2 linked regions of the Arabidopsis thaliana genome follow. The protein of the gene in region 2 purifies or fractionates together with the protein of the main gene of each other region. This does not show direct contact. Each region holds a gene or a part of one and is shown on either strand. Other genes may lie near its edges.

Region 1 (3,924 bases), on a different chromosome or scaffold from region 2:
AGAAGGAATATACACATTGATACAGCTAGTAAAGCACAAGATTGATTCTTATTTCTGCTCCACGAAGACCGGGAAAACCATATAGGAGATCTAACACAAAACAAAAGTAACGTATTATGCAGAACTTAACTCTTTGCCTCCAAAGTAGCTGGATCGTTGTCAGCAAATTGTACCATCTCGTTCTGTTTAAGAAGAAGAAACTGTTAGCAACTTGTTAAGCATGTGAATAGCTCTATGCAAACAGATAGTCTGTATAATCTGACCTTCAGATCTTTGTGTTTCTTTTCAATATCTTTGAGTTGCGTCAAGGCCTCTGTTCGTTCCTCCTGCAGCAAGAACAGCAATTCTGGTGAAAAGCACACGTAAGCTTATTCGAGCATTAATTCTACAATACTGAAAATACTTACCGATTCTTCCCTTCCCTTCTTTAGGGCCTCACACTGATCAACAAGTTCTGCTAACCTTTTGTTACTACCCTGAAGATCAGATTCAAGTTTCTGGCGAACACTCCTAAGCTGTTCATTCAAAATGAGATCAGAAACAATGAATTTCGCTATGCTCAAATTAATATGAATCTTTTTGATGTCATCTCAGGATACAGAACGGTGACTCACTTGATTGCCAGCACAGCTGGGAAGGCTCCAAAAGTAGATCTTCATTTGCAAAATAATGAACACCGTCAAACAACATATAACAGAGACAAGGACTATATGGCAACAAATGAAATAAAAAGATCCAACATAGGAACACTAAGCTACTCACAGAAATTCCAATCTTGTCTTTCGCAACAAGATCATCATCGACTAAACTCTGGATAACATCTTTCACAGACTGACTAATTACACCCTTCTTCGGCCCCATCTTCTCAAGTTCCTTTAGCTGAAATTTTTTTACAAAAGTAGAGACCCATAAGTGCTTGTATCACAAACCCAAAAGTTCAATAGCAACAAATTTAGGCAGTATATGCACTTCACGACTCTAGATATCAGATCACTTGGTAGATAAAGCTAGTTCAAAGGCGTCCAAAAATTAGCAAGTTGTAAAAACTAAAGAAAGTGCTCACTAGGAAGAAGTCTTGAGACTCATAGAATATCTGAAGCATCTTCTCTCGTTTCTCCTCCAGCGAAAGTCCCCGTTTCTTAGACTGAATATCATCAACAATAGAAAGCAGCGATTCAGTTGATACGAGAATGACGAAAAAAAACTTCAGAGCTTCAATGACGAAATCCAACAAATGATCTGTCAACAAATAGTTTCCAGATCGAAAATGTCAAAAATATATACAGTCAACTCAGCGACTACACTGATTGCGAGAATTGGCTGCTAGATAAATGCTAATTCGAGAACCTATCGATTCGCGTCATGCAGTCCAAGTGTTTGCGGAAATTCCTCACACAAATTTGTAATGAACTACGGAAGATAGAAACATTACTACCGATGAACGATAAGTTTAAACAAATTTCTTCGAAGAGTAAGAGAAACACATAACGATGACTACTAAACATTCAAACAAATAGGTCGAATCAATACATCCAAAATTCTCTTGTAAGTCGAAGAATCACAAGCTAAGATCATCAGTGTAAGATAATCACGATTCATAGAATCATAGAGAATAATCACTCGATCTTCCCAGGAAAATGCACAAATCACAGAGGTTCATTAGCGAAACAAAATCACAAGTAGAGAACATTCGTCCAGAGTATATTACCATCGTGATCTCTTGCTCCTGGTGATGCAATCCAAAGGATTTCAAACACTGCTACAGCTCTCTCTCACTCTCTTCCCTCACTATCGTCTCCTCTCTTTATCAAATTCGAAATGAGAGAATTGTAGAAGAAGCCTTGAAAACTTAAGCGGGTTATTATCCCTCGCTTTCTGTTTCATTTTTTATTCCAATTAATTTGAATTTAACCTTAAAACGACACGGAGTCCAATTTTATGGTACCAAAACGGCATGATGTTTGTTAAAGCAGCGAAGTCAACGTATATGGTTGACTATTCATGAGTAGTCTTATCAGGCGAAAGTGATGAACATAGGAGTAAAGTGATTATTAACCAAAGGAAAAAGTGTCATAAAAAGATACAAAAATTACAAAAGATAAATTATGTGAAGAACACTCAAATTGCAGATAACATTAACGACGGGGATTATAAAAGTTTTTCGCTCCGAATTAATCTGATTCAGATCCTTATATACATCGTCTGTTCGTGTCTATCAATGCATACATGTCTCTGCTCGGAGAGGTGAATAACCTGCAGTTAAACCAAGCCAATTGCAAAACTAGTTAAATTACAAATCCATAGTCTGTAAGCAAATTGATTGATTTTGCTTTGATTATAGATAGAAGAGACCTTAGAGGGCCATCTCAGCCTGTAATGCAGCGAGTTCTTCTTCCTCAGCAGTCCGCTTCTGGGGAACAGGACGAGCCGGTTGACGCCCTGCAGGCACTGGAACTGAAGGCAATGGAGGAGCTGTTGTTGCCGGCTGTAGAAGTTGCGATTCAAGCTCTTCACTTTCTAGTTCATCAAGCTCTGCTGCAAGCTCATCCTATCAAAGAGAAGTTTTTCTTAGACAAAAGTCATTATTAGTTGAAAAATATATGATCATTTGGGTACAAGAAAGTTACCTCGTCGAAGTCAGCCGCTGCCCCCATTGGAGTCGCCAATGCTTCTTGGATCTGTTTCATGTTCTCGGTTTGCTCATTGATCTCGTCCATGGTCTTATCCACATCATCAATATTTCTGCAAAATATTGTGTTTTGAGTTAGTCAGGCACTAGAAATGTTAAAGCATTCAAGCACAAGAAAAGCATAAGTATTTTGAATACCAAGCTCGTATTAACGATTCCCAGAACTGATGACGGTTAAAATGGTAGTAAAGAGTAATATGGTGAAAATGTGATGAACACTTACGTTGCTTTCTGCATTGCCTTCATTGCAGAAGCTCCACTCCTCAATGCATCAACAGTTTCGGTTGTTGCTTTTGCACCTTCTAACATAATCATCTGTATGACAAAAAGATATAAGATCCCAATAAATTCATCTAATTACTGCTATATAGTTTATAGTTAACAATCTTAAAACAAACTCACTTGATCATGAATACGGAGCTGGAAATTCCCAAGCTGTTCGACTTGTCCCTCATATAACCTCTTCCTTTTCAAACACTGTATAGCCGCTGCAAAAACCCAATACAGCTTTTAAGTACTCCAGTGATTAGCAACACACATGAGTCATAATAAATAAGAGGTCATACCTCGTTTGTTCTTAGCCCGGGAGTATTCTTTTGCCTTCTCAACCTCTGCACCAGCTTTCTTCAAGAGTACTTTCTCCTTTTTCTCTAGCATCTCAAGCGTCTGCAATGAACAAATCAACAAAATTTGAATATGGTTTAAAAGCAAACGATCATATAAATTGTACTCAGAAATCCCCAATTCAATCGTTTTTGAGTATTAAATATAAACGAGAATCGGATTTGAAGTGATGTCTTATGGTGATTTAAGTTTAAGATTAAACAAACAGTACAGAGATCAGTACACAGAGAGATCGATATTTCTTTCAGATCGAACGTAAATTGAGAGAGAGAAGTAGATAAGTAGATGATACCTCGTTAAGCTTGTCTAAAGTTTGGAGAGCATTAGCCTCCTGCTTGGGTTTCCCGAATAGCCGATTCATCATGATTTTGCTCCCACTTCGATCTCTTCTACCCCAACCGACACGATCACAGGTTACTGAAACAATTTTCCGCGAATTAAGAACCGATCGATCGATTAATCTACGAGGAAGATTCAGGATTCGTAAGAATCGGATCAAAAAATACCTCTGTCCAAATCTGAATTGGAGATGGGGGAAGATCAATTGTATACGTAGACGAGAAATAATGGAAATCACTTGTATTGGTTTTTGTTTGTTATTTCGCGTTTTT
Region 2 (3,924 bases):
ATCTTTGACCTAAATTCTTAAATCTCAATAAATTTTGGTTCAGCTTAGATGGAATTCAATACATTTGTAGGTTCACTTCTCTCTACTGAAGGAGAAAAAATGATGATCACTTCTTCAGGGTTGTTTCACAGAAACAGGATAACATGAGTTTAGTGTGCCAGAGATCGTCACTAGTATCTACAACAACAACTACACGGTGTTTGGATGCTAGAATTATGCAGCTACTATACTAGTCATTGAAGCTTTACCAAACAAGCAAAATTAACAAACACAGAACACTGAGCAGAGAAAGAAACTTACCTCTCATTCTTGCCAAATCCGAAACGTGCACCAAAGTAAAATGCAACAGAGATAAGCCATGAATCACTGTGAACTGCAACCAAAGAAATCCAGTCTTTTTCTTGCATTCCGTCCCTTGCGAAATTGATGCCTAACGCTGGTTCAGGAAGCTCAGGAGGGACCTCCTCAACGGGAAGATTAACCTCCCATGTCTCATTTGGAAGTCCATAAAGACACAAGTTTTCCTTCTCTGCATTAGCAAAAAACGTAATTCACTAAGAAGTCAAGAAGAGAAACCACAAAGAGAACTAACTTCATCTTAGGTACAAATCTCACAAACACTTAAAAAGTCTATAATCTGTTCAAACATCATGAACCAAAAAAACTGTTCAAACAGACAACAACTCTGACAGGAAGATAATCAAAGATATAACACCTAACAGAGGAGTCAACTAGAAAAAGGATCATAACAACAAGTCTACTGCAGATTAGATGTAATCAGGAAGAAGCTAACTAAAACAATCTAACAGAATTTAGAAAAACAAAAGCTGGGAACAAAAAGAATCCGTGAACAAACTCATGAAGCAAAAAAAACGCATGTCCAATTACAATCTCTTCCCTAATTCAGACCCGAAAGGAACTCTTGCACTGAAAAATCTTAACTTTAGCAAAAAAAAAAAAAACACATCTTCCTATAAACAAGATAAGAACCAATGCGTTAGGAAGCTATATACAAGACTTTAAATGGGTAACGAAATAACTCACCAGGGTCACACTGATGGTAAAACTTCTGTACATCTGCAAAACAAAACACACAACAAAAGAACATGAATAAACCCAAAACAGGAAGAAGAAAGCCAAAATCTTTTGGGGGTTTTTTTCTCAGGAAATTAAGAAAACCCAATTGAAGAAACGAGCACTAAACATATAAAAAAAACTCGCAAATCTACAGAAATCATCTAAGATTCGATCAAAAGAAACAGAGTAAATAGAGAAAGAGAGATCGAGCTGACCAGTAGAGAGAGCCTTGATGAGACCAGCTCTACGACCACGAAAGTCGCTAAAAACCTCTTCGACAGTGCGAGGTATAGGATGCTGAATTCCTTCCATAGTATTGCTTCAAAAGCCAAAGACTTTCACAGATGAGAATGAATCAGCCTCACCAAAGAATGCTTCCAAGTATCGAGATGCACTCAGAAACAAAAAAGCCAAGATCGGCTTTTTAGTTTTTCCTTTTGAGGGAATTTTGTATAGTTCGGGGGAGAGTGAAATCTATAAACTTTCGGAGGAATTTATTTCATTTGGGGAAATTGAGAAGAGAGAGCTGTGCTAAGAAAAAAAAACCCTAAAAACGAAAAGGAAAGGAGACAAAAGACAATTTGAGGGATTTGGAAGCATTGGAAGAATAGATTAAAGCGACAACATCTCAACTTTTTTTTTTTTTTTTTAAAGTCACAACCTGTATTTATCTATTTATTTAATTCACTCCAGAAATATAAAGTCGTTTTACTTTTCTTTTGTTTTGGGTCAATATTTATGTGCGCTTTTTTTTCCTGAGGCATGTTCTACAACGAACTGAAGTAATAATACAGTAAATTTCTGCCAGTTTTACTGTGATTAACGTTTAAGAACTGTACTATAATATCCATATCTGTCGATCAATATAATGGAAAGGCTAAAGATTAAAAAAAAATAATGATTTTAAACAAAATTGATGGTTTTACAATATTCTGTCATTAATCTCTAGTTAATAATGAGTTAAATTATACTACTAATAGTTAAAAAGAATGCTTCAAGCTTAATACCGTAGAGAGAGCGAGGGTCTTTATCTGATTTGTTTAATCGTTAATGTTTTTTGTTATTATTTTGGTTTTGTTTATACTACTGTTTTACATGTTTTTGTTAATTTTCATGTGAATTATATTCAAATCAAACTCTACAAAGCTTTAATACATAGAAGTTAGAACTACATTAGGATGGATGACTATGTATTTCCTATCTTTTTGCAGATTAGAATTTGCGGGTAAGTAAGTAAAATGAGGCGTTGATGCTTTTATCCTCAAAAGAACAATCAGTTGTTTTTATGAAGAAGAAAAAAAGAAGAAGAAGTTAGTCACAGTTGGGAGATACTTGACGTGTATCACAAGTTGTCAGATACTTAGCAGAAAGATTAATGGTATAACGTCGAAACCAAAGAAACATTTTGATCTTCATACCAATAATTAAGTTTCCGGATGTTGTCTAAGAATCAGTTTGCTCCATTTCACGTTTCGACCTTATTGACATGTTGAATCATCAGATGACACATGGAAATGATTTTAAAACAATATGTATTTGTTTGGTTTGCTCTTCATCATGGTCTAATGAGCTATTTGCATACAGCATTTTTTAACATGGTTGTCTAATTTGGGATGTAAGTGTCGTTCTTTTGTATAAAGTTGTTTGATGGAGTTTCGTATTGTTTGATTAATTAAAAGGTAGTTTAACTAATAAAATTTAAATATATTTACGAATAATTAGGATTAGGAACACATTCACGTACTTGCCACATTAATAAAAGTAGACTATTAACTTTGTAAACATGTTATTAATCAATATTAAAAATATGCTACTGTCACATGACTCGCCTTCCAAGTTAGCTAACTATTAGTTAACTTCTAATATGTACTTATTAGATATAATAAGTATAAGTTCGAATCAATCTATTGTAATACCAATGTGGAATGAATTCATAACAAACTATCTTTCTCTCAAGGTTCATTCGTAATAGATTCATAAACATTCGATGAATAATGTAGTATCAGCTGACCAGTCAACAATTTTTGTAAAATACTAAGGCAACAAAATCAAGCTGACTATTCAACAATGGGCCTAATCTCACGAAAACGCCCAATTTGAAATCAACGAAGCCCATAACGCAGTGGTCTTCTCCGTCCATCCACCTGAAGCCCACAATTGATTATGGAGATCATCATCCGAAATCTTCAACCAAATCATTTCAACACAAGGCCCTCAACCCCGAAATTCGATGAGAAAAACTTTTCAACATTTTGTCACTGAAATACGGTTCGCATAATATAATGGAGTTCGGGTAAACCTGGTCTGAAATTTGATTACGAAAGGGCTCACAAATGATTTTACTAGTCTTAGTTAATTAAGCTCGAGGATAATGGGGCAATAGTTGTAATTACAAAAGTTATGGGTCATATTTAAAACATAATAAAAATATAAGGACCATAAACTAAAAAGTTTCAGTGTATCTTGCATCACCGAGGCAAGTATGCCAGTAGCCTCTCCAAGCATTTCAACAATCTTTGCCTTCCACCCGAAGGAAAGCCAATCCTATAAAGAGGGACGAAATCAGATGTAACTTAGCTTGCACATCCCCGAAAACACCAATATTCTTAAAGATTCCACATTATTTCCTGAATAAAGAAGAACCAAAAGGAACATGGGGTTCCCTTACCTCGCCAACAAAAGTCAAGTAAGTACCAATATTAAGAGCACGCCCATGACAATTTTTGCTATCTTTTTATTTTTTTGTACGAATACTCTTCAGATCTTTTTCAGTTGATGTCAATCCAAACTTTAATCATGAGTCTATCACAATGTTGTTGAAGTACATAAAACAAGGATTTATAAACG

The links.
Region 1: the proteins of AL7 (region 2) and ATMND1 fractionate together in Arabidopsis thaliana (co-fractionation; one large-scale study listed by BioGRID). This does not show direct contact.

The regions. Positions count from the first base shown.
Region 1 is NC_003075.7:14,380,772-14,384,695, reverse strand, and holds the start of ATMND1 (Mnd1 family protein), read right to left. Parts: upstream 1,861-3,924; 5' UTR 1,712-1,860; coding exon 1,709-1,711; intron 1,240-1,708; exon of another isoform or gene 1,145-1,239; coding exon 1,064-1,144; intron 880-1,063; coding exon 763-879; intron 654-762; coding exon 615-653; intron 516-614; coding exon 408-515; intron 327-407; coding exon 264-326; intron 183-263; coding exon 131-182; coding exon of another isoform or gene 126-130; exon of another isoform or gene 1-125. Other genes in the region: SNF7.1 (SNF7 family protein), read right to left, coding at 2,354-2,548, 2,628-2,742, 2,913-3,004, 3,092-3,177, 3,256-3,355, 3,606-3,677. UniProt on the Arabidopsis thaliana protein: Required for proper homologous chromosome pairing and efficient cross-over and intragenic recombination during meiosis.
Region 2 is NC_003070.9:4,962,766-4,966,689, forward strand, and holds the start of AL7 (alfin-like 7), read right to left. Parts: upstream 1,751-3,924; 5' UTR 1,390-1,750; coding exon 1,293-1,389; intron 1,078-1,292; coding exon 1,045-1,077; intron 530-1,044; coding exon 301-529; intron 1-300. UniProt on the Arabidopsis thaliana protein: Histone-binding component that specifically recognizes H3 tails trimethylated on 'Lys-4' (H3K4me3), which mark transcription start sites of virtually all active genes.